Linked DNA regions of Arabidopsis thaliana. The protein of the gene in region 4 interacts with the protein of the main gene of each other region in a pairwise test. Each region holds a gene or a part of one and is shown on either strand. Other genes may lie near its edges.

Evidence for each region.
Region 1: the proteins of AT1G35210 (region 4) and SK32 interact in a two-hybrid assay, tested with the Arabidopsis thaliana proteins (one large-scale study listed by BioGRID).
Region 2: the proteins of AT1G35210 (region 4) and AT1G68140 interact in a two-hybrid assay, tested with the Arabidopsis thaliana proteins (one large-scale study listed by BioGRID).
Region 3: the proteins of AT1G35210 (region 4) and SKdZeta interact in a two-hybrid assay, tested with the Arabidopsis thaliana proteins (one large-scale study listed by BioGRID).

Annotation. Positions count from the first base shown.
Region 1 is NC_003075.7:293,083-299,117, reverse strand, and holds SK32 (shaggy-like protein kinase 32), read left to right. Parts: upstream 1-1,638; 5' UTR 1,639-2,115; coding exon 2,116-2,178; intron 2,179-2,456; coding exon 2,457-2,702; intron 2,703-2,781; coding exon 2,782-2,874; intron 2,875-3,018; coding exon 3,019-3,078; intron 3,079-3,166; coding exon 3,167-3,439; intron 3,440-3,567; coding exon 3,568-3,642; intron 3,643-3,728; coding exon 3,729-3,785; intron 3,786-3,865; coding exon 3,866-4,006; intron 4,007-4,130; coding exon 4,131-4,181; intron 4,182-4,261; coding exon 4,262-4,357; intron 4,358-4,436; coding exon 4,437-4,520; intron 4,521-4,625; coding exon 4,626-4,728; intron 4,729-4,925; coding exon 4,926-5,002; 3' UTR 5,003-5,530; downstream 5,531-6,035. Other genes in the region: BSK3 (BR-signaling kinase 3), read right to left, coding at 6,022-6,035.
Region 2 is NC_003070.9:25,538,391-25,543,811, forward strand, and holds AT1G68140 (zinc finger/BTB domain protein, putative (DUF1644)), read right to left. Parts: upstream 3,434-5,421; 5' UTR 3,117-3,433; exon of another isoform or gene 2,404-3,116; intron 2,041-2,403; 5' UTR 2,025-2,040; coding exon 1,020-2,024; 3' UTR 534-1,019; downstream 1-533.
Region 3 is NC_003071.7:13,181,524-13,187,659, forward strand, and holds SKdZeta (SHAGGY-related protein kinase dZeta), read right to left. Parts: upstream 4,451-6,136; 5' UTR 4,348-4,450; coding exon 4,237-4,347; intron 3,126-4,236; coding exon 3,033-3,125; intron 2,820-3,032; coding exon 2,760-2,819; intron 2,678-2,759; coding exon 2,405-2,677; intron 2,317-2,404; coding exon 2,242-2,316; intron 2,166-2,241; coding exon 2,109-2,165; intron 1,921-2,108; coding exon 1,780-1,920; intron 1,686-1,779; coding exon 1,635-1,685; intron 1,560-1,634; coding exon 1,464-1,559; intron 1,339-1,463; coding exon 1,255-1,338; intron 1,127-1,254; coding exon 1,025-1,126; intron 923-1,024; coding exon 827-922; 3' UTR 502-826; downstream 1-501. Other genes in the region: ASP1 (aspartate aminotransferase 1), read left to right, coding at 91-163; AT2G30985 (uncharacterized protein), read left to right, coding at 5,383-5,541. UniProt on the Arabidopsis thaliana protein: May mediate extracellular signals to regulate transcription in differentiating cells.
Region 4 is NC_003070.9:12,896,064-12,899,650, reverse strand, and holds AT1G35210 (uncharacterized protein), read left to right. Parts: upstream 1-1,975; 5' UTR 1,976-2,266; coding exon 2,267-2,737; 3' UTR 2,738-3,069; downstream 3,070-3,587.

The DNA.
Region 1 (6,035 bases), on a different chromosome or scaffold from region 4:
TGCAGACAGGAAAAGAAAAACGTAAGCAAGTGAATTTAAATAGCTGTACGGTGGTGGGCTTTATTTTAAAGCCCTGGCCCGTTATGGCTAATGATTCCTAGATCTTATAACATTAATTGGGCCTACAACAATATCATGTGCCATTATTTATCCGTTCATTTTGCAAAGACTTTAGATTGATACTGCACTAATAAGCCCATAAGGCAAGTGAAAAATGTCATTTAATCCCCCAACTTTCAAAAAATGGTCATTTTATATATCAACTTCGTATGTGGCCGTTTAAAACATGAACTAAAGGTTGACTAATTTTTTAAACATGATCTTTCGTTGACCAGACTAAAATAGACATGCCGTTATCAGTCATTAACGGAACTTCTAATGTCCGTTATCATCCGTTAATTTTATTAGTCAAGTTTCAAATTGTGGCCATTTTAAACATCAACTTCTTATTTGGCCATTTAAAACATGAAGTAAACGTTGACTACCATTTAAGACATGAAAAATTCGTTGACCAGGCCAAAATAGACATGTCTTTATCAGTAGAACCTAGAAACTCGTTAATGACTGCTAATCTATCCAAAACAACGTCGTTTGAGAATAATCGAAAGAACATAAAGATTTTTTCCATATGAAATTTCCATATCAAAAAGTTTTAAGCAGAACCCAAGAACATAGTTTGATATAGAGATAACCGCAGTGCCAGTAATTGGAAGCAAATAAAGGTGTTTTCGTTTATATATTTGTTTTAAATTTTAAAAGGAATCATGGAAGCAAATTGAAGACTCATTATAAGATTGTTCGTCTTGTTTGAGCGGTTGTAGAAATAGATTTGGGGAACTGGAGTTTCATTTAGAAAACAATCCTGATTTTCTTTGGATTATTCTCAAAACAAAGTCATTTTAGGGATACTAATAGAGTCGTTAACAAGTGATAATGAATGTTATAAGTTCTTTTAATGAATGATGACAACATGTTTATTTTGGCTTGGTCAACGAATTTCTCATGTTTTAAATGGTAGTTAACTCTTAGTTCATGTTTAAAATGGCCACATATAAAGTCGATGTTTAAAATGACCACAATTTAAAACTTGACTAATAAAGTCGTTAACGGATGATAACAGAAGTTAGAAGTTCCGTTAATGACTGATAACGGCATGTCTATTTTGGCCTGGTTAACGAATAATCATGTTTTAAAAGTTAGTTAACGTTTAGTTCATGTTTTAAACGGCAGCATACGAAGTTGACGTATAAAATGACCATTTTTTGAAAGTTGGGGGATTAATTGACATCTTTTCCCATAAGACAATGGTTCAATCAGTAATAACCACATCCTCATTAACATTCCTCAGATAGTAAACTAACCAATATATGTTTTATTTTACTTCGTTTCTCAATCTAATAGATTACTTGAATTGTTTATAGATTACCTCATAGGATGATGATAATTAATAGTTTAAAATTTTGAACAGAGACATTATTAAAAATGTCTAAAAACAGTAAGAAATTACTAAAATTATCTGTTGCAGGAGCAAAAAGAGGGAAGTGGTCAAAGATGGTCAAATGAAAATAATACAGTGCCCGCATATTCCGCGTGGGCTTAGATGCAATCATTCAAAACCCCCAAATCCTTTTGCCTAATCCCGGGATACGTAAATAGACAAACAATACAGGGGTACTTTAGTAATCACAGCTTGTCGAAATCGGGCGGATTCATCCTAACCCGTCGGATGAGCTGCTGCGATAAATCAACGGTGAGGAGTCAATGTTTGACCAAAAAAAGAGTAGAGAGAGATAGAGAAAGAGAACGAGGCTGGCATGATTGGCTTTGCCCACGAGAGAGAGAGAAAGATTCCACCTGGGTTGGGTCGTGAAGAAAGAGAAGAAGAAACCGAAGAAGCTCGAAGAAGAACGAAGGAGATTCTTCCTTTCCCCAGATTTTTCGTTTGAAGAAGAATCGAAAAACTTAGATTTTTGGTTTTGCTTTCGGAGTTATTCGAATTTGAAATATCTGAATCTGTTGATTCATTTATTCTCCGCATGAAGCTGTGTTGGTGAAGTTTTTCGGAGATTTAGGGTTTCTGAGTTGTTCCTCGTTTGGTTGGTGAATAAAGCGAAGATGAACGTGATGCGTCGTCTCAAGAGCATTGCTTCGGGTCGGACCTCCATTTCTTCGGATCCTGTAAGTATCCATTTTCAATGTCTCTCGTTTCAAGATCAGATTGATTTTATATTTCTGATTGTTGAAATTTTTCTCTCATTCTCATCCAGAAATTACGGATTGATGTCGTTTATAGTATGTTACAAGTCAAATTTAAGCTTTTGAGATCTTTAGTTTTAGATATTCTAGTAAATGCTTATGTTTTTGTATGAATTTGATTATCTCTGCTGTTTCATTGATTTTGGATGAGTATGTTGATGTTGACCTGACTAATTTCGTGTTTTTGGTGTTTGTTTTAGGGTGGGGACTATGCGTTGAAGAGAGCTAAGCTGGATCAAGAGAACGACAACTTGTGTGTTGATCCAATGCAGGTTGACCAAAATAGTTCTTGTTTTGAGATGAAAGCTGACGTTTTGTCACAAGAAAGTGTTGCTGGAACGTCAAATGTGCCTGCTGTATCGGAAAAACCCGTGGATGATCAGCTTCCCGATGTTATGATCGAAATGAAGATTAGAGACGAGCGAAATGCCAACCGCGAGGATAAGGTGAGTTGCTTAATCAATGTATATATCGTCGTCGTGATCTCCATTAGCCACTGCTCACATCTTCATTTGGCTTGTGAAGGATATGGAAACAACTGTTGTAAACGGCAGTGGGACCGAAACGGGACAAGTTATTACGACGACAGTTGGGGGTAGAGATGGAAAGCCAAAGCAGGTCATTCAACTAACTTTTTTTCTGATTGCCGTTGTGTTTGAGAAAAGCTATTAATCATGATAGTCATTTCTTTTATGAAAAGATTGTTTCTCTTTTCACTTCTGTTGGGTGTATCTTTAATTTACTCTTTCTTTCTTGTTTCAGACTATCTCATACATGGCCCAGCGAGTGGTTGGAACCGGCTCATTCGGAGTAGTGTTCCAGGTAGGTGGAAATTCTTATAGCAGGAACATAACTAATCCTTAACTATTTGTGTTCCCAGAATTTGACTTTCTGTCTGATTTTTGGATAGGCCAAGTGCCTGGAAACGGGTGAACAAGTTGCAATTAAGAAGGTTCTGCAGGATAAAAGATACAAGAACAGAGAACTTCAGATCATGCGTTTGCAAGACCATCCCAACGTTGTGCGGCTGAGGCATTCTTTCTTTTCAACAACTGACAAGGATGAGCTGTATCTCAACCTTGTCCTTGAGTATGTTCCCGAAACTGTATACAGAGCATCGAAGCACTATACCAAAATGAATCAGCATATGCCAATTATCTTTGTTCAGCTCTATACTTATCAGGTGAGTTCTATTAGCTCTCCGGTTACTCGTTTCTAGTAATCTGTGTAGCATAAAGCTACAAATACATAGGAAATTTATAATTTCACTTATGCTGATTTTGTCATTTCTGTTGCTTTGTTGGATATCAGATTTGCCGTGCGCTGAACTACTTACATCGCGTGGTTGGGGTGTGTCACCGTGACATTAAGCCACAAAATCTACTGGTATAGTGTGAATAATTTCTGCTTAAAGGTTGGTAAGACGTATGAAAGGATAATTCATTGATTCTCTTATGATGTGGCTTTCATAGGTTAATCCCCAAACTCATCAATTAAAAATATGCGATTTTGGAAGCGCAAAGATGTTGGTATGTTCATTTTTTTTTGATGAGTTCTTGGAGATGAGTTATCATTTGAATAATGATGGCTAACACCCTTTGCGTCTCAGGTACCCGGTGAACCTAACATATCCTATATATGCTCCCGGTACTACAGGGCCCCAGAACTTATATTTGGGGCGACAGAGTATACCAATGCCATTGACATGTGGTCCGGCGGTTGTGTCATGGCAGAGCTTTTACTTGGTCAAGTAAGTATATTATACATTGTAGAGTTTCGGTTATGATGAACCATTTTATTTTGATTGATCAGTTTTCATTATTACTTCGAAATAACATTTAATCTGATAACAACTGTTGATTTTCTACCCGTAGCCACTGTTTCCCGGGGAAAGTGGCATTGATCAGCTGGTGGAGATAATCAAGGTACTTAACCTGATCCCTCGTGTTCCTTCATCTCTCTTCTATATTTAATTTACTAGTTTACTCATCTGTACATCTACCAGATTCTTGGGACGCCTACAAGAGAAGAAATACGGTGTATGAATCCGAATTACACAGAGTTCAAGTTTCCTCAAATCAAAGCTCACCCGTGGCACAAGGTTTGTTAAATAATCGCAGGTGCCTCTTTGGTGCGTGTGCTTGTTCAAATGAAATTTAATGTAGCATATAACTCTTCAGATTTTCCACAAGCGAATGCCACCTGAAGCAGTAGACCTCGTCTCAAGACTCCTTCAGTACTCACCAAACCTTCGTTGCACTGCAGTAAGACTAAATCCTGCTGGACACCACAAAACTATATAATCTCCTTGGCTGATTTGGAATTTTCTAACTCAAATTCTACAAAACACTTTTTTTCCATTTGTTAAGTTGGAAGCTTGTGCACACCCCTTCTTTGATGACTTACGGGATCCAAATGTTTCACTGCCAAATGGAAGAGCACTGCCTCCATTGTTTAACTTCACTGCCCAAGGTCAGTACATATATTATCTTTTACCTTAGCTTCATCCTTACAAAAACTGTGAAGTTATCATTAGCCGACTTTGTTTAGATTTCACAATCATATGTGAAGAGTAGAAATTGCAGCAGAATACAAGAAATGTTTTGACGGATTGGGTCTACATTTGGTTCTGTCACATTGATTTGTTGCCATTGTATGTGACTATTCAGAACTTGCGGGTGCATCAACAGAGCTGCGACAGCGTCTAATTCCAGCACATTGCCAGGGAACGGGAAGTAGCTCTTAGGATCATTTATAGCGTGTCCAAATCCAGCTTTCTTTCTCTCCCTCTATTTACTGCAGTGTGTACATCAATTTTGAACCACTTCTGCTTCCAAGCTTTTGTCGCCGGAGGAGAGATTGGAAATCTGTACGCCGGGACCTGATGAGGTGTGAAATAACTGGGGTCATGAAGCTTCTTCTTCTTCTTCTGACTGGCTTTTCTCTCAATTTGCTATCCTTGTTATTTTCACCTTCACTTTCATTTTTTTGTTTTTTTTTCCACAAATCTGACCCCCCTTATATGTTTGGTGTATCATTTTTATGTGTTTGTAATCCATCAAGATCATTTTCCCTTGCCCTAATATTGCAAGCTAAGATTCCGTTTCATGTTCCTCTCTAAGATGGTTTTTGGGTGAACAAATAAACTCTTAACGACATTTTTCTATTGTATCTCAGGACTGGCACAGATTCCAGGTAAGCTATTTAACTGAAATGCACATGTTGTTTAATTAAAGTTGAAAAGCGAGGAAGATGAATGAAGAGTTAACTAACTTCACAATCGGACGAGTAATTAAACTATACTGTAGGAGTCGAAAGTCCTGTAACTTTGACACGAATTTGTGTTTGGTTAAAATTTTGAATAATTTACTCAACTATTGGAATTTAACCACAAAAACCCCTTTCACTGTCGAATATCTCTTTAGTCAAAAGACAAGAGTTCATACATGTTTAGTCTGTGTGACCTATAGATCAAAAGAAACAAAACCCTCTTTTGGTTTCTGCAATAATGGGTTTTTTAGTACAATAAAGTTTCAGGAAATGGATTTCAAAGCTAATAAAGGAAATGACTCCTTCAATTCAATGCCCATAAAAAGAGGCACAAGAAGGGCAAAACACCTCATACAACCAGAAGAAGAGGGTCTATAGTTTTGCATTGCTCTTGAGTGTTTTCCCATCATTGTGCTCAAAAGATTCATACCCCTTTTACTTGGTAAGATGTTCTTTCATCTTTCCCAACAAGAAAAATCTTAAATGCTATATATCTTACTTCACTCGGG
Region 2 (5,421 bases), about 13 Mb from region 4:
ACTTTTTGTCCAATTCCAAACCCAAATCTCTTTAATATTTTTTGTCAATTTGTTCACAATTACAGTCTATATATTCCTCCATTTATTGATTCTGTAATTTTGCCCAAAAAATGGGGACACGACAAAACTCGATAGCGACGAGTAAAAAAGAGTGAAAGGATAGAAGGAAGGTATCGTAAGAGTAAAAGGCCCCCACCATTTTGTTTATCGACATTTCCATCAAAATCAAAACTAATTACATAAAATCGATTATCGGTGAGGTATATTTTCCAAAACTCTAAGCGAACTGAATAAAAACCTCCGAATGCTTAACTTAAATAGTACACTAACACTTAAATAAGATCATGTTATTAACAAAAGTCAAAAACCAAACACATGTTTAATGTTGAGTGTTGTTGGTCGTAGAAGCTACCACATCGATACGAGGCAACTCTCGAAACCGAAAAACAAAACCAAACATATTTCATCTATGTTGGTGTATTTTCCAAAACTCTAAGCAGTAAACTAACTTTAGAAAAAAAACGAATGTTTAAGCTTAAATCATACACTTACACCAAAATAAAATCATGTTATTAAGAGAAACATACACATAACACTTGTGAGTGTGTGTGGTCTAAGTCTCTTAGAAGACTCTACAACGATTCATAGGTAAGTCTCTAAGCGCACATGGAATCTATAAACACAAGGAAACACAATTTCATAATTCGCTAAAAGACTTCATTGGTCATCATCACTGATCATGCTTATTCACAAGGATAGATATTTGTGAATTTTCCACCCAGAAAGTTACATCAGAATACAGTAAATAAAACATGAGATTGCAAGCCTGCTTCTCTAGCATATGAAAGAATTTCGAGTCAAATTCCCAAATTCTCCAATGGTGATAGCAGAAAGGCCAAAAGCCTTTTTTTGTTTTGTTTTAAACTTGTCGAAACTACATTTGTACCTAACCATACCATAAAGCTTACCTGAAACCCAAAATCAGACAGGGTTTTCTTTTGAATTCGTGTGATTCTCTCTCATCTAGGAGGAGGACCTGTGTTCTGGTTAGCTTCTCTATCTCTACGTCTCCTACCTGAACGTCCCAGCAGAACGCGTCCTTGTCGCCTCATTCGACTTGCCAAAGAGTTACTGTTACTATGCCTCTCCTCCTCCTCCTCTTCCTCTTCTTCTTCAGAGAAATTCAGCTCACTTGTTCCTCGGTTGATTGTTGTCGAGTCATTCGAATCTGAATCAGAGCGTCTGATCTGATTACCTGATGCCCCAAAAGCATGTAACAGAAGGAAAACATTCACAAGATTCCTACCAAATGCAGCATCGATCCCATCATCATCACCACCCTCGTCTGAATCTGAACCGTTGGCATTGTTCCTTTCAATTACGTAATCACCATACACCACTGTACCAGGCATTGTCGACCTAATCGTGCTCATAACATCGTCCCGGTCATGCTCGATCTCAAGCCTTCTCCAATTCTGCTCCACATCAGGATCCACTTCACGCGGCTTCGCACTAGGGTGGTCCACTTTCATGTGTTTCCTCAGCTCTTTGAAGGTTCCAGCATAAACACAGTTCTCCTGCATACAGATCCTCTTCTTAAGATTCAAAAAGTCACGAGCAGGCTGTACGATTGTCCAACCTTTCACCTGTCCTCTACAAAGTGGGCATGTGAGATTTCCAAGCTCAGACTTATTGATCTGTTGATGGCCCGATGTCTTCAGCTTAGCTGACGCTTTCTTGTACTGATCTAAGCAATTAGAATACCGGAAACTGGTTCCACACATGTAAGGACGACATCCCTTGTCATGAGATGAGCAGAGAAGAAGGACAGCGTTGTGTGGACACTCCATGCAAACCGAACATATAACATTCTCCCAATCCCTCTTCTCTAGACACTTTGAACAATCTTCCGCAAACATGTTTCTCGCCACAAGTCTTTTAGAAGATGGAAATTTGTATGGTTTTGCTCTTGCCCTGAAGCGTCGTGAAGGAACCCTACGTCCTGCCTTCCTAGCTTTGGCCATAATCTCAAAATCACACCTGTACAAATCCTCATCAAATTAGCAAAAGAACTCCACATAAAAGTTTGTAACAATACAAGTAGATATCTCTTCATGGAAACTACATATATTTTTCCAGTTCACCATTCAGCATACAACATGATTAGTAGTAGCATCCCACACTCTGATTTGGGAACTATTTCATGATAATGCTTTACATATGCATCTATAAAAGATATTTCACAACCTCATAGCAAACAAAGAGGGAGGTTCGAATAAACATGTTGAATTCATACATCCCTGGAATTGCATGATCAACAAACAATGCTAATCTATGAAACTTAAATCAAATCAAGGAACTCATACCGAAACGAAAAGAGATCAAACAAACGAAGTAATGTACCTCACTAGCTTGGAAGCCTAGAAAAGTGATTCAAACTCACAAGATAACTAACACAATGACAAAACCAAATCGACAAGTTATGGAAAGCAAACAGATGGAGAATCAATGTATAGAGATACCAAGAATAAAAACTGGTGAGACAAAGTCTCGCATCAAATCAAATACAGTTAATAAGATTACATAAAAGAAAATAAAAAAATAACAAAAGATGTGCAGACATGTTACAAGACAACCAAAAGGAACATGCTTCACAGAACAACTCACGCGACATGACAGTGAATCAATTATTAAACAAACAAAGGAGAAACCTTAGAATCTAATCTAATCCACATGGAACAAAGACCTTTGACACATCTCAGATCCATAGAAATTTATATAAAAATGTTAGCATAAATGTATAAGAAAGAACGAAATGCTCTCGATAACCCTAGAATTCAAAAACATAAGAATACACAGATGGATTCTGACAAGTTCAATTATACAATTCAACAAATTTTCAATGACTCATGAACCTAACCAGAAATCGGAAAAGTCATAGCTACACAAAATTCAGTTTTTCCAGCGGCGCACAAGTTCGAATTACATCAATATCTCGATAATCTAACACGGACCCACTAAAATCCGTAAGAAAAAAACACTAACCCAGATCGCAAATTAGACGAATAAGAGTAGAAACGAAGACAGAGAAGACGAACACGCAATAAAGACTTCACCTTTAGGGATTGAAATGAAAAAGATTAGGGTTTCAAGACACAGCGTAAGAAGACGAATAGGCTTGAATCGAGGGAGGGAGCGAGACCGAGAGAGGTAAGGTATTCAAAGGAAGAGAGGGAAGGAGGAAGACGAGTGGGACTGCGAGATTCGCGTGGAAGCGTCTCCACTGCTCCACCAAGCTCTGGTATCGGAGTTTCTCTTTCCTTCACGTCAAGTAAAACGTCCACGCGTCCTTACAATACGTAAGACTGACGCGCGTGCTTATTGTTTTAAAGGCCCTCTAAAAGTCCCTAATGGGCCTGGCCACGAATTAGACATATACTTATCCATAGTTAAAATTTGATATTGGACAGATCAATATATGGAGGATTTCAATTAAAGGTTGACTTAGTGACACAAAGAGATACAAAGAGACAATGGGAAATGCATTTGACCTTTTCTTAATTGTAATTATAAAATTTGAACGAGAGATATGGCTGCGGCGCCGCTTGCTCTCTTGTCCCACGTCTCCTCTGTCAAATGTTTTAGTTTTCCACTATATTACTATATGCTATATTTTTCTATATCTAAAATCAGCAAAAAGTTCTTTTTTGGTAAGATAAGTAAAACAAAACACATGCATATTCTTTTGACACATGCTTTCCCGTGTAAAGACGGATCATCATATTGTTGTGTTGAAATGTTAATCCAAAGTCCATAAGCTTGATTTGTTGTTGAAATGTTAATCTTAAGTCTATAAACTTTTTGGTACTCTAATAATATAGTAACTCCTCATATTGATAGTCATTCGATGATACTGCAACATTGTGTGTTTTGACTATAGATTTTATACAATTGTGAAACATTCATTATCCAATTTGATTTCTACGGATTAACCTCTTTTTTTTGTATCCGTAATCAACTCTGAATAAAATGGATACTTATAAAAAAAAAGTACTGTACGAAAAGTATATGTGGATAATCTTACATGATTTGCAAGTAACCTTATATTGTATGCTAATTCGATTTAAGATAACGATTTTATATAGGATTAGATCTACTAATGTAAATACTCTTAATAGATAGACAATTTCAAACGGTTGTCTCGGTAATAATATTAGTACAGAGCTGATAATTTTGTTGATAAAGTTTTTGGCAAGAAAGAAATTAAGTTAATAAAAGGACAGTTAGTATGAAAATAATAAAAATTAAAAGTCTTCTAGTTGACTATTTTTAGATCCGATCCCGAGGCAAGTATCTTGTTCTCGGTATTTTTGGTACGAATTATTAATTGCTAATTTGAATTTCACGTTAGTGATTATAATAAAAATAAATAAGATATCACATATAGACATCTTCTTAAAAGCACACTAACTAAAAGAAAAAAGAAAAAAAGAGACATGTCAAGTTTCTTTTATTTTTGTGTACATGTCAAGTTTGTAAACCATAGTTTATTGCTTAAATAAATCACATAACGCTTAAAAGAATCCAAAATCCGGACTTCACATATGTCACACATATTCTATCAACATAACCTGTATGTACATCGAAATCATAGAAAGAATATTTTAGGTTAGCTAGTAGCCTAGTACTAATGGGATAAATGAAATTAGTTATCCTTCTCTTAAAGATGAATCCTTGAGATCAAGAAATTTTGTGAGATTGTTCAACCAAACTAACAATAAAACTTATATTATTTGATACAATCTAAATATAGAATCAGTTAATTCTTTCTTTTTTCTTTCTCATATATATTTATGATCTCATAACACCAATTTGACTTTAAGAAGATATCTATTGAAATTTTCAAAACAACTTTAATAGGAAAATTCAAAATATATAGACAGCGCCATATTCTAGAATATTCTTACTCATTATGAATTTTTGAATGTTTTGATTTATAGACCTATCTATGATGTTGAATTGAGTAAATAAAAAGTTTAATGGTGCGTTTGATCTCACCCATCTTTTTCTTTATTCAGTATTCAATCTTTATAACTCTACCTTATTCGAAGAGATGAATTCATCTAGCTATAAACACATCAGTGACAAGTTTAAAAAAAATATCTACACGTTCGATGGTCTTCTGTATTTCACATGGTACCATCCATGTGAATGTGATGGGAAATTTCGCAGACCCTAATGCCGGCCATAAACTGGATTTACAAAACTAAACAATGTAATACAATTTTCAAAGAAACCGGATCTAATTATCTTATTGTCACTTAATAAACAAACTATATAAGAGAAGGGGAGGAATATATGTATACACTTTTTTATGACTACTAGGATGGTAACCAAAGTCATGATTCCATAGTAACTCCG
Region 3 (6,136 bases), on a different chromosome or scaffold from region 4:
ATTCAATGCAATCCATTTCCTAACATCAACATGCTTAATTTCAATGCAAGCCATTTCCTAATCATTGAGGCTCTTGATGTTTGGTTGCAGTATGGCTGGTGTTACAACAGGAAACGTGGGATACCTTGCGAATGCTATACATGAAGTCACCAAGTCATCTTAAATCATTTACTTACATGTTTCAGCCAAACATACAAATTTTGTTTGAAGAGTCAATAAGACAGGAGGCTAGATTTGTACTTCTGCAATTGGTTTTGTGGGAACTGAAAGTTTACCCATAAACAGTAATTTATTAGCGCATTTTTTCGTTAGCTGGGCAATAAAAGCAAAGCCTAAACGATGGATTTTTGGATATACAAAATTCGGATTGTTTTCTTTCTTCTCAATTGCTCTTTTTGTGCTTGTTTCCTTTCAACGTTACAATGCCAATGCTGGCAAAATTTTATCCTCAAGCTCATTGATTTCAAATGTTTTTAGTTTTTACTTTTACCGTAGGCAACTTTAGATTATCATGATTTCATTTCATCATTTCGGTTATTTGACTTGCAGTTTGGAATCGATTTTGTTTCATTTCAAGGACAAAAACATATACAAATACTGATACAGGAGAAAAGTATCTCTCTACAAGTCAGTGAACAAAAAGAATATAATAGGACACAATCATCGCCTCCTGATTTCTCAAAAAGCTGAATTGGCCACGTCTAAGGAGGAGACATCATCTCTTCTCAGAAGCTGATACTTAGTTAATCAGAGAGAAGTAAATCTCCCTCTCCTTCATTCCATAAGGCGGCATTTTGCTCTGGAAAAGCATCTCGAGATCGCTTTTCTAGGGTCCAGCTTGAAATGGAAAGCCACCATTCATCTGTCGCCTCACATGCTCTGGTATTAGCCTGTTGATAAGCTCCGGTGAAGCCCCAGACAACTGTTTCAATAGTCAAAGAGAGAGCTAACAGATTGAGTAACTGTATGCACATTCAGTTATGTTTGGTTGAAGGAAAAGTGATTTTGGAATGGTTTAACATACCTCTTGTTTGAAGTTGAACAACGGTGGTAGAGGTCGGCCATTTGGAAGACGAGCATTTGGCTCACGGAGTTCATTGAAAAACGGATGCGCACATGCCTCGAGCTTCAGACGGCAAACAAACAAGTCAGTTGAAAAACAACATTTCACTCCTTCATTGAACAGTGTATGGTCCAAAGAAGCCAGAGAGAACCACTGTAACAATTAAGAGTACTTGGTTTAGAAATACCAACCGCAGTGCAACGTAGACTTGGTGAGTATTGAAGAAGCCGAGATGCAAGGTCAATGGCTTCCGGAGGCATCCGCTTGTGGAAAACCTGGAGGTCATAGAGCAGTTGTGCACCGTGTTAGCTTCTTTTCCATGAATGTTGTTTAGGTAGAGAAGTAAGCAATTGTATGATTAGAAAGAAGTTCGAAAGTGACATGCATATATATATATTACCTTATGCCAAGGGTGGGCTTTGATTTGTGGGAATCTGAAGTCTGTGTAGTTTGGGTTCATGCACCGGATTTCTTCGCGAGTTGGAGTACCAAGAACCTAAACCAACACAGCACATCATGAGCACAGACAGGAAATGACGCCAAAACAAAATATAATAAAAGAAGAGTTCACCTTTATGATCTCCACTAGCTGGTCCACAGAATTTTCTCCCGGGAATAACGGCTGTGAAGATAAATAATACCACATTGTTTACAGAAGATTTTGGAGAGATGCTTTAGTTCTCAAGATACTCAACAGGTTAGAAATTTACACTAACCTGCCCAAGAAGTAGCTCTGCCAGAACACAACCAGCAGACCATATATCAATGGATGATGTATACTCTGTGGCACCAAAGATGAGTTCTGGAGCTCGGTAATACCGAGAGCAGATATATGATATGTTTGCTTCACCTTTCACCTAATATAAAAAGCCAAATGTTGCAAATATCAGGCTAACAGAGAAATATCTGAAACTGCATCCATACTTATGTAAATTACTTGCATAATATTCACTTAATTGGAGTTTTTAACTACTGCATGCAAAGACACAAGCACAGTGGAAAAGACAAACAACAAATGGGGTAAATAAAAGTCTAAACCTCTTACCAGTACTTTTGCACTTCCAAAATCACAGAGCTTACACTGATGGGTGAGGGGATCAACCTACAGAACATACAGAGAATAAGATTACAATCTAGTCAAGGTTACCAAAGACAAAACCCACAATAGATCAACGTACCAAAAGATTTTGTGGTTTCACATCTCTGTGGCAGACACCAGGAGCAGTATGGATATAAGCCAAGCCTCTGAAGATCTGCACAACATATTTTATAAACAGTTTTAGGATAAACACAACAGAGTAAAGAGTATTTATTGGGGAAAGAGTAGATAACAATGCATACTTGGTATGTGTAAAGTTTGACATAGAAGATAGGCATCCGCTGGTTTGAACTAGTATAGTGCTTCAAAACCCGGTACAATGTCTCTGGTACATACTCCATAACGAGATTGAGGAAGAGCTCATCTCTAGTCGTTGTAGAGAAGAAACAATGCTTCAAGGAAACCACATTTGGATGGTCCATTAGTCGCATTAATTGCAACTCTCGGTTTTTATAACGGCGATCTTGCAAAACCTTCTTAATGGCTACTGATTCTCCAGTTTCCAAGCATTTTGCCTAGAATGGTAAGTTAACAATCTGATCAGAAAGGAAAGACAAAAAGCCATTTGCCTGTAGACAGTGACAAGCACAATGATACCTGGAATACAATTCCGAATGATCCTGTTCCAACAACACGTTCGGCCATGTAACTAATGGTCTGTAAAGGCCAGAGGGATGAAAACATTAGAGAGTAGAACTTAGAGTTGGAAAAAAGGAGCCACAAAGTCAAAAGATGTAAAAACCTATTTATTTATTTGTTGAATTTCTATAGATTAATCCAAACCTTAGGTAACCTTATACATGGTAGTGTGCTCGAGCAATAACTATGATTTAAATCATTACAAAGATTTAATAAACAACAGAATCCAACCTGTTTAGGTTCACCATTTTTGCCTCCAATTGTAGTAGAAATTATGTGACCGGTAACAGCATCATTTCCTTCTATAACAGCAGCAGACATTTCCTAAAATCAAACGTGAACATATTATTACAGGAGTTAAAACTATTCTTGTCTACAAAGAATGAAGGAAAGTAGTAACAATTAGTGTTTCCTCCGATGTATATTGATTGAATAGACAAATAATTCAAAATATTCGAATCGTTTTTCAATCAGTTCTATCAAGTGTATGAAATCTTCCAGAATATAAACTTTCCTTTAAAATAGCATTCAAATCTAAGAACAGTCAATGCCCAATTTACAGAGAATTCAATCATGTAAGATAACTAAATGTAAATCTAAATGATGTCGCAAGTTCCTGTTGACCAGAGGCTAACAAAATTCAGAAAACAAATGCATACTACTATACTAGTTGTTACAGGTAAAGGAAAGCTAAAAAATGATAACTGTAACTTCAAGAGTAGAGAAAGATTAAGATGTCAACCATTTTGTGGACATAAGAAACTTGTACAAAATCAAAAGATACAATCAGACACAACATGGAACAGACACTGTCAGGTGGAGAAACAAAGCAAAAGAACATAAAACAAAAGAAAAGAGTTCAGAATCAATACAGAATGGGCCAAGAATCATATAATCTAAACGAATACTCCAAAAACTGTCAGGAAAAAGAAGAAAAAAAACTCGAAGATACACAAGTACTTTGTGAAGTCAAAAGTGTTAAATTTAACACCCAAACTATGAGGTTACTTCTTTAGGGTTCAAAGGGTTATTACTAGAAAATTTCTGTTATTTACCCTAATTTCTTCTTTAGGGTTCGAAGGTTTACTGCTACTAATCAAAAACAGCTCAAGAGATCAATCTTCACTACAAAAAAGGTTGAAAATTTCAGCTGAAGAAAAGTAAAACTAGCTACTATGAAGTCAAAATGCACAATCTTCAATGAGCTCAAATCAAGAACGCTGACTAAAAAGGAACACAGATCGATTGACTAACACATCGAAACAAGCAAAATCCGAGCTAGATCTAGAAAACCCACAAAACGAAAATTGAAATACATTGTTCACGAAAGAATCAATCAGAGAGAGAGAGAGAGAGAGAGAGAGAGAGAGAGAGAGAGAGAGAGAGAGAGAGATACACACAAACGTTTCAAGTTATAAGAGAAGAAAAAACTAACCTTGTCGTTGTCTATATCGGGACGACGTTTCAAAGAATCTCCGCCGTGAAGATGCGGCGGCTGAGGAGCTAAAGACGGAGGCTGAGGAGGCCCCAATGGTATCGAAGTCATGTGCTTTTACAGCTCTAACTTCTCTCTCTCACTGAAAGAGTAAAGACTATTTTGTTCTCTCTCTATTACCTGGTGTTCTGTCTAAACTTGAGAAAATTTTTAAAGATAAAGAGGAAACCCACGCGTAAGTTTAGCGCGTGATTCTTACGCTCCAATGAAACACTAATCTGTTTATTAAGTAGTCATTATTTAATAAGCACAGTGATTGGTGAAGTGAAAAGTCTGATAACTCCGTAATAATACCATAATGCAATTTATTGTGGAGATTACTACATTCACACAATCAGATAATTTGGGTAAACTAACAACAACTACTCTCTTTCAGATTAATAGTTGTTTTGGAGTTTTACCACAATTTTAAAAACTCTTTAATCTATCTACTAATATAAATTGTTTACAGTATTCATTCTAGTTTTTTTAACAGTTTTTATTCGCTATCGGTAAACTCTTTGAATGGAAAAATATTGGCTTACGTTACGTATGTGTTTTCTGAATCTTGAATCTTCTAAGTTTTTGTCATTTTAGAAAAAAAATTGGTGTTCTCTGGAGCCAGATGGCTACATATTTGACTTTTAATATTTGGTCCAATTTAAAGGATGGATAAAAGTCTTAGAATAAGGGGAGTGGACTTAGCACATGGACGAATGACGATCATAATCAATTTCTTGGAACATTTTGTTTAATAATAACTCGCTATTTGGATTCCAACGACCAACACTATGGACAAATAACATCAAAACAATGTTAAAATATATACATACAAAAACTATGATTGAGATATATTTTTCTCTTGTATACATCATGACATGATATATTTACGTCGAAATTTTCTTTTAACATGATATGGTGATAAAATTATTCATTAAGATGATTAGTTTGTGCAGAAAAAATACAAACGATGGAACTATTAAAGTAGAATGAAACTGATAGTAGGATGATGCAAGAATCGGATCCGATCATACTAATATCAAATAGATATTTGATTTTACTTTAGCATAACGATAATAAGATTAGGCACATGTTGTTCTTTAGGTAATGCCTAGATGTTCTAAGCAAATTGGTCATAAATTCAAATACGTACGGAAACAGTACCCAAGTGATATATCTACTTATCTAGCAACCCCCTCCTCCTCCACCACCATCACCACTGCAACCGCCAAAAACGCCACCTTTACAGCAGCAACAGCAACTTGAATCCTTCTTCTTTTCCTTCTTTTTGGAGCAAGCAAATACGGCCATGGTTACAAGTAACAACGACAGAAGAAACATGAAAATCAAGAACAAAACACCCCCAAAAGCAGCAGCTTCTTTCATGTCAAACTAACTGATAAAGAAACCTCTCACTCTCTCTCTATATTGTTTTTTAAATTTCTCTTCACTCATATATTTGCATGTGATCTTCCATGCCACTATATATATAAAGAGAATAAGAGATGAAATGTGAACATTTTCACACCAATATTGTTTCAATAATTCCTCTAGTGACTAATTTAGTCAAGGTATTCAATTCAATTCAATTCTGCAGCTTTCAAGTTTCCTTTCTAGTGAGCTCTATATTTTGAAACCATAATTACAAAAGAACGAAAAAAAAAAGTCTATTAGTAGAGAATAAAGAAGCAGTGTCACATGGAATTATTGCCATGAAATCTCCGTTAACATGAGCTGTACATCACTTCAACAAGAAACCTCTCCTTAAGTGCCAGACAATATTTAAGACATTTATCTCCATTGCTTTCTCTTTATCATGGAATCTTTTTGATTCAGATTTACACAAATAGTTAAAGACAAA
Region 4 (3,587 bases):
TTAAAAGGGACAAGGTCGAAGATTCGAAATCCTTGTTTTGCAATTTTATTTTAAGATTTTAACTCCAAAAATGCAAAACAACGTCGTTTATATACACTTCATAATCCACATGTTTGCTGAGTCAGATTTGTAACGATGTTGACTAACACATGTTAGTTTGAATCTGATTTTTACACTAATTATCAAGTTCATGTATAAATTTCAAATAATTGTGCGGTTTGGGTAGTAAATCCTATACTATTAATTGGAGACTACACTCATAAGTTGTCACATTCAAAAGTGTAACAACCACATTAATATGTCATAGAAAAATATAATCATAGAATTTGATCCACTTAATAATCTCACGGGTCTACGGATTCTAAAACGGTCAAGTTATTATTTCTAAAAAAAGAATAACCAATCAAAATGATCATATAAGATTTGATATCTAACTTACCATATTAATTTGTTATTAATTATTATACTTCACCTCACATCTTTTTATCATACTATTTTTGTGAACAAAATAGATCATCATATCATCCATAAAATATAAAAATAAATAGATTTTCAGACTTAGGTAATATATATTCTTAAAAAAAATAATTCAACAAAAGTTTTAACTGACTGACGGGCCAAAATTTATATTCGATTTCGTAGAATTGTTTTTTGAAATAATATTATATACCACCATAATAAAAAAAAAAAATTTTGAACATTTATAAATATTGTAATTTAATATTTTTAAAGAATATCACAATTATTTAATAAATCAAAATTTGAAAAATTGTTAGTACTCTAATTTGATTTTTTAAAATAGATATATTTAAAATATTTATAACAGGTGACATATTTTTTTCGTCGAAAAGATAATTTTATTAATTTAAAACGTCATGATACAATTGTTCACTGGGCCATAATTGCAGGTACATACAATCAGAAAAATAACAAGTAGATCGACATCCCCTTTTAGCTAACAAGTGTGCTGCCTTATTACAACTTCTCTTCGCGAAGCTAAATTCAATTTTTCGTAATTTTGTAGCCCAGTAATGAATATTTTGATGAATTCTAACGATAAATATATCATACAATTTCCCCTTGGCCATATCAATCAGAAATTCACAATTAAACATGTTAAATATAATATATTATATGATAAAACAAGTTATAATGTTTATAATAAACGGTGGGTTAAAATTAGATGTGATGATTTAAATAAGGATTGCAACCTCTAAATATTTAAAATTTTGATTTTGTAAGTAATTTTTTCATTAGAATTCTAAAATGAAAAATACGGTTTCTATGTACGGGCTGAATTTTGTATTATTATATACCAAATATATGTTTATAATATATTCGATTATGCTAAATTATGTAATTAGCTCAAACAAACTTCTATTTCAACAACTAAAAAACTGAAAATTCAGAAATGACTTCCTAAATTAACTCAAAGTAATAGCTAAGTTCCTTAATTAATATATTTTAGATATGGTTCATTTATAATATGTTGACTTTTGATCTAACATAATTATATGCAATCTTATTTTGTGGTTGCTAAATTTTTTTCACTTACTACTATAATATATCAATTTGTTTTTAACAAAAATATAGAAATAAAAATTAAACAAAACTAAAATTTAACCCATGTTTATCCTACCAAATTATTCAGGTATGAAAATACACTTAGCCAACAGTAAAAATATGAAAATACCCTTTTCCTATTTGGTAGACGCAAAAATATCAAATATTATGGTATCATAGAAATATGTTAATTTTAGAAAGATCAATTCAATTGTAGTTGATTTGGAATTAATTTTTTCAAAATGGTAGAAAAAACCATCTTATGATTAAAACATTATGGCGTTTAAATGTATTTTGTGTGTAAATTTAATAACGTACAAACCAAAAGAACTAAACTTATATATATTTTTGTTTGTTTTATGTTTTTTAATATGTAAATGTTTATATATTGTATATGAATTACACAATGTTTGGGACTTTCTGCGCCTACCAGACTCGGAATTTTCTAGTCATTTCAACTGACCTGTTACACTCAATCTTAGCCGTCACTTAATCTCTTACTTTCATCCTAACCGTTGATTCTTCTTTTCCCCGACCCACACGACCTGTCAACTAAAAAAATCTTACAAAAGGCCCATCTTCAAACTTTCCCGGAAAATCCCTAGAAACCTCCAATGAACCATCCACGACCAAATCATTCTCTCCATTAAAATTATATAAACATTTTTGATGTTTCTTCTTAACCACTCAAATAGATGAAGAAATGGCGAGCTTAAGCACGAGCTTGCTCGGAATAAGACGAGGGTCAAGTAACAAGAACAAGGCAGAAGATAAGACCAAAAACGCAGTGTTTTGCAAGAAGCATCCAAAGCATAGACAATCACCTGGTGTTTGTTCTCTTTGTCTTAACGAGAGGCTCTCTCTTTTTATCAAAGCAGCTTCTTCACGTAGACCAAGATCTCGTCAAATCTTGTCTACTTCTTCCTCAACTACTTCCTCTCTTTCATCTGACGGTTCTTCTTCTGTCTCTTCTTGTCCTTCTCCTATTGTTGATCGCCGACGATACTTGTTAATGTCCGGAGGCAGCGGTAGAGGAGAGAAAGTGATTTCGTGGATGACGAAAAGCCGATCCGTAGCTTATAAAGTGGATGATGAGAAAAGAAGGAAGAAGAAGACAAAGACGAATAGTGGTTTCTTTTTTGGTTTGGTAATGGGCACAAAGAAGAGACAATAAGATAGTCAGTCTTGTAGATTTGTTAGATTAGATTGTTCTTGATTGTGTATTTTCTTGATTCTTTCATTTTAGATTGATTGCTACATATAGATGACTAGATCAGTTTGGTGGGTACGTGCAAGTGAGAGAGATTCTTTATACGTATTCTTGTGATTGATTCCCTAAGCTTGTAGTTTAGTGTGGTAACATAAAATGTGATAATCCAGATTTAATATGCGTTGAACATATAATTATATGCGCTAAATCAAGAGATTTGCGAACATGTTTTTCGTTGTTTATTTTCTTGAAAAAAAATATTTTCGTTGTTGATTTTAGTTGACCCCCCAAAAAAATGTTGTCGTTGTAGTTATTAATGTTCGCACACTTACTTGAAAGAAAACTTAGACTTTTCTTTGATGAAACTCGTGAGAATATAAAATGGAAAAATGTCAAAAAAAGCATGAACTTTCAAATTTGGGACGAAAAAAACGTGAACTTCCAAACTGCCAATAAAATTGTAAAGTTTTGCTTGACTTTTGATAAAATAGTCAAGTTTTGTTGACTTTGCCATTTTAAGCATGTCGTTAAGTTTCCGTTAACAAAAAAATAACAGGATTAATTTTTTGTTAGCATTTACCGTTAAAAGCAAAACGACGTCATTTTGAAATTGGAAAAAAGAAACAAAAACAAACACAAGGAAGAATCGAACTAGTGACCTTCTCAATGCTATTAAAGCTCTAAACCATTGAGCCATGTTAACGTTTTAGAAGTATTGTAAACATATATATATATACGTAATAAATTAAAAATAACCAACTAAAATAATTCAATAATAGAGAAAATTTACCCAATCCTTCTCATATAAATATAG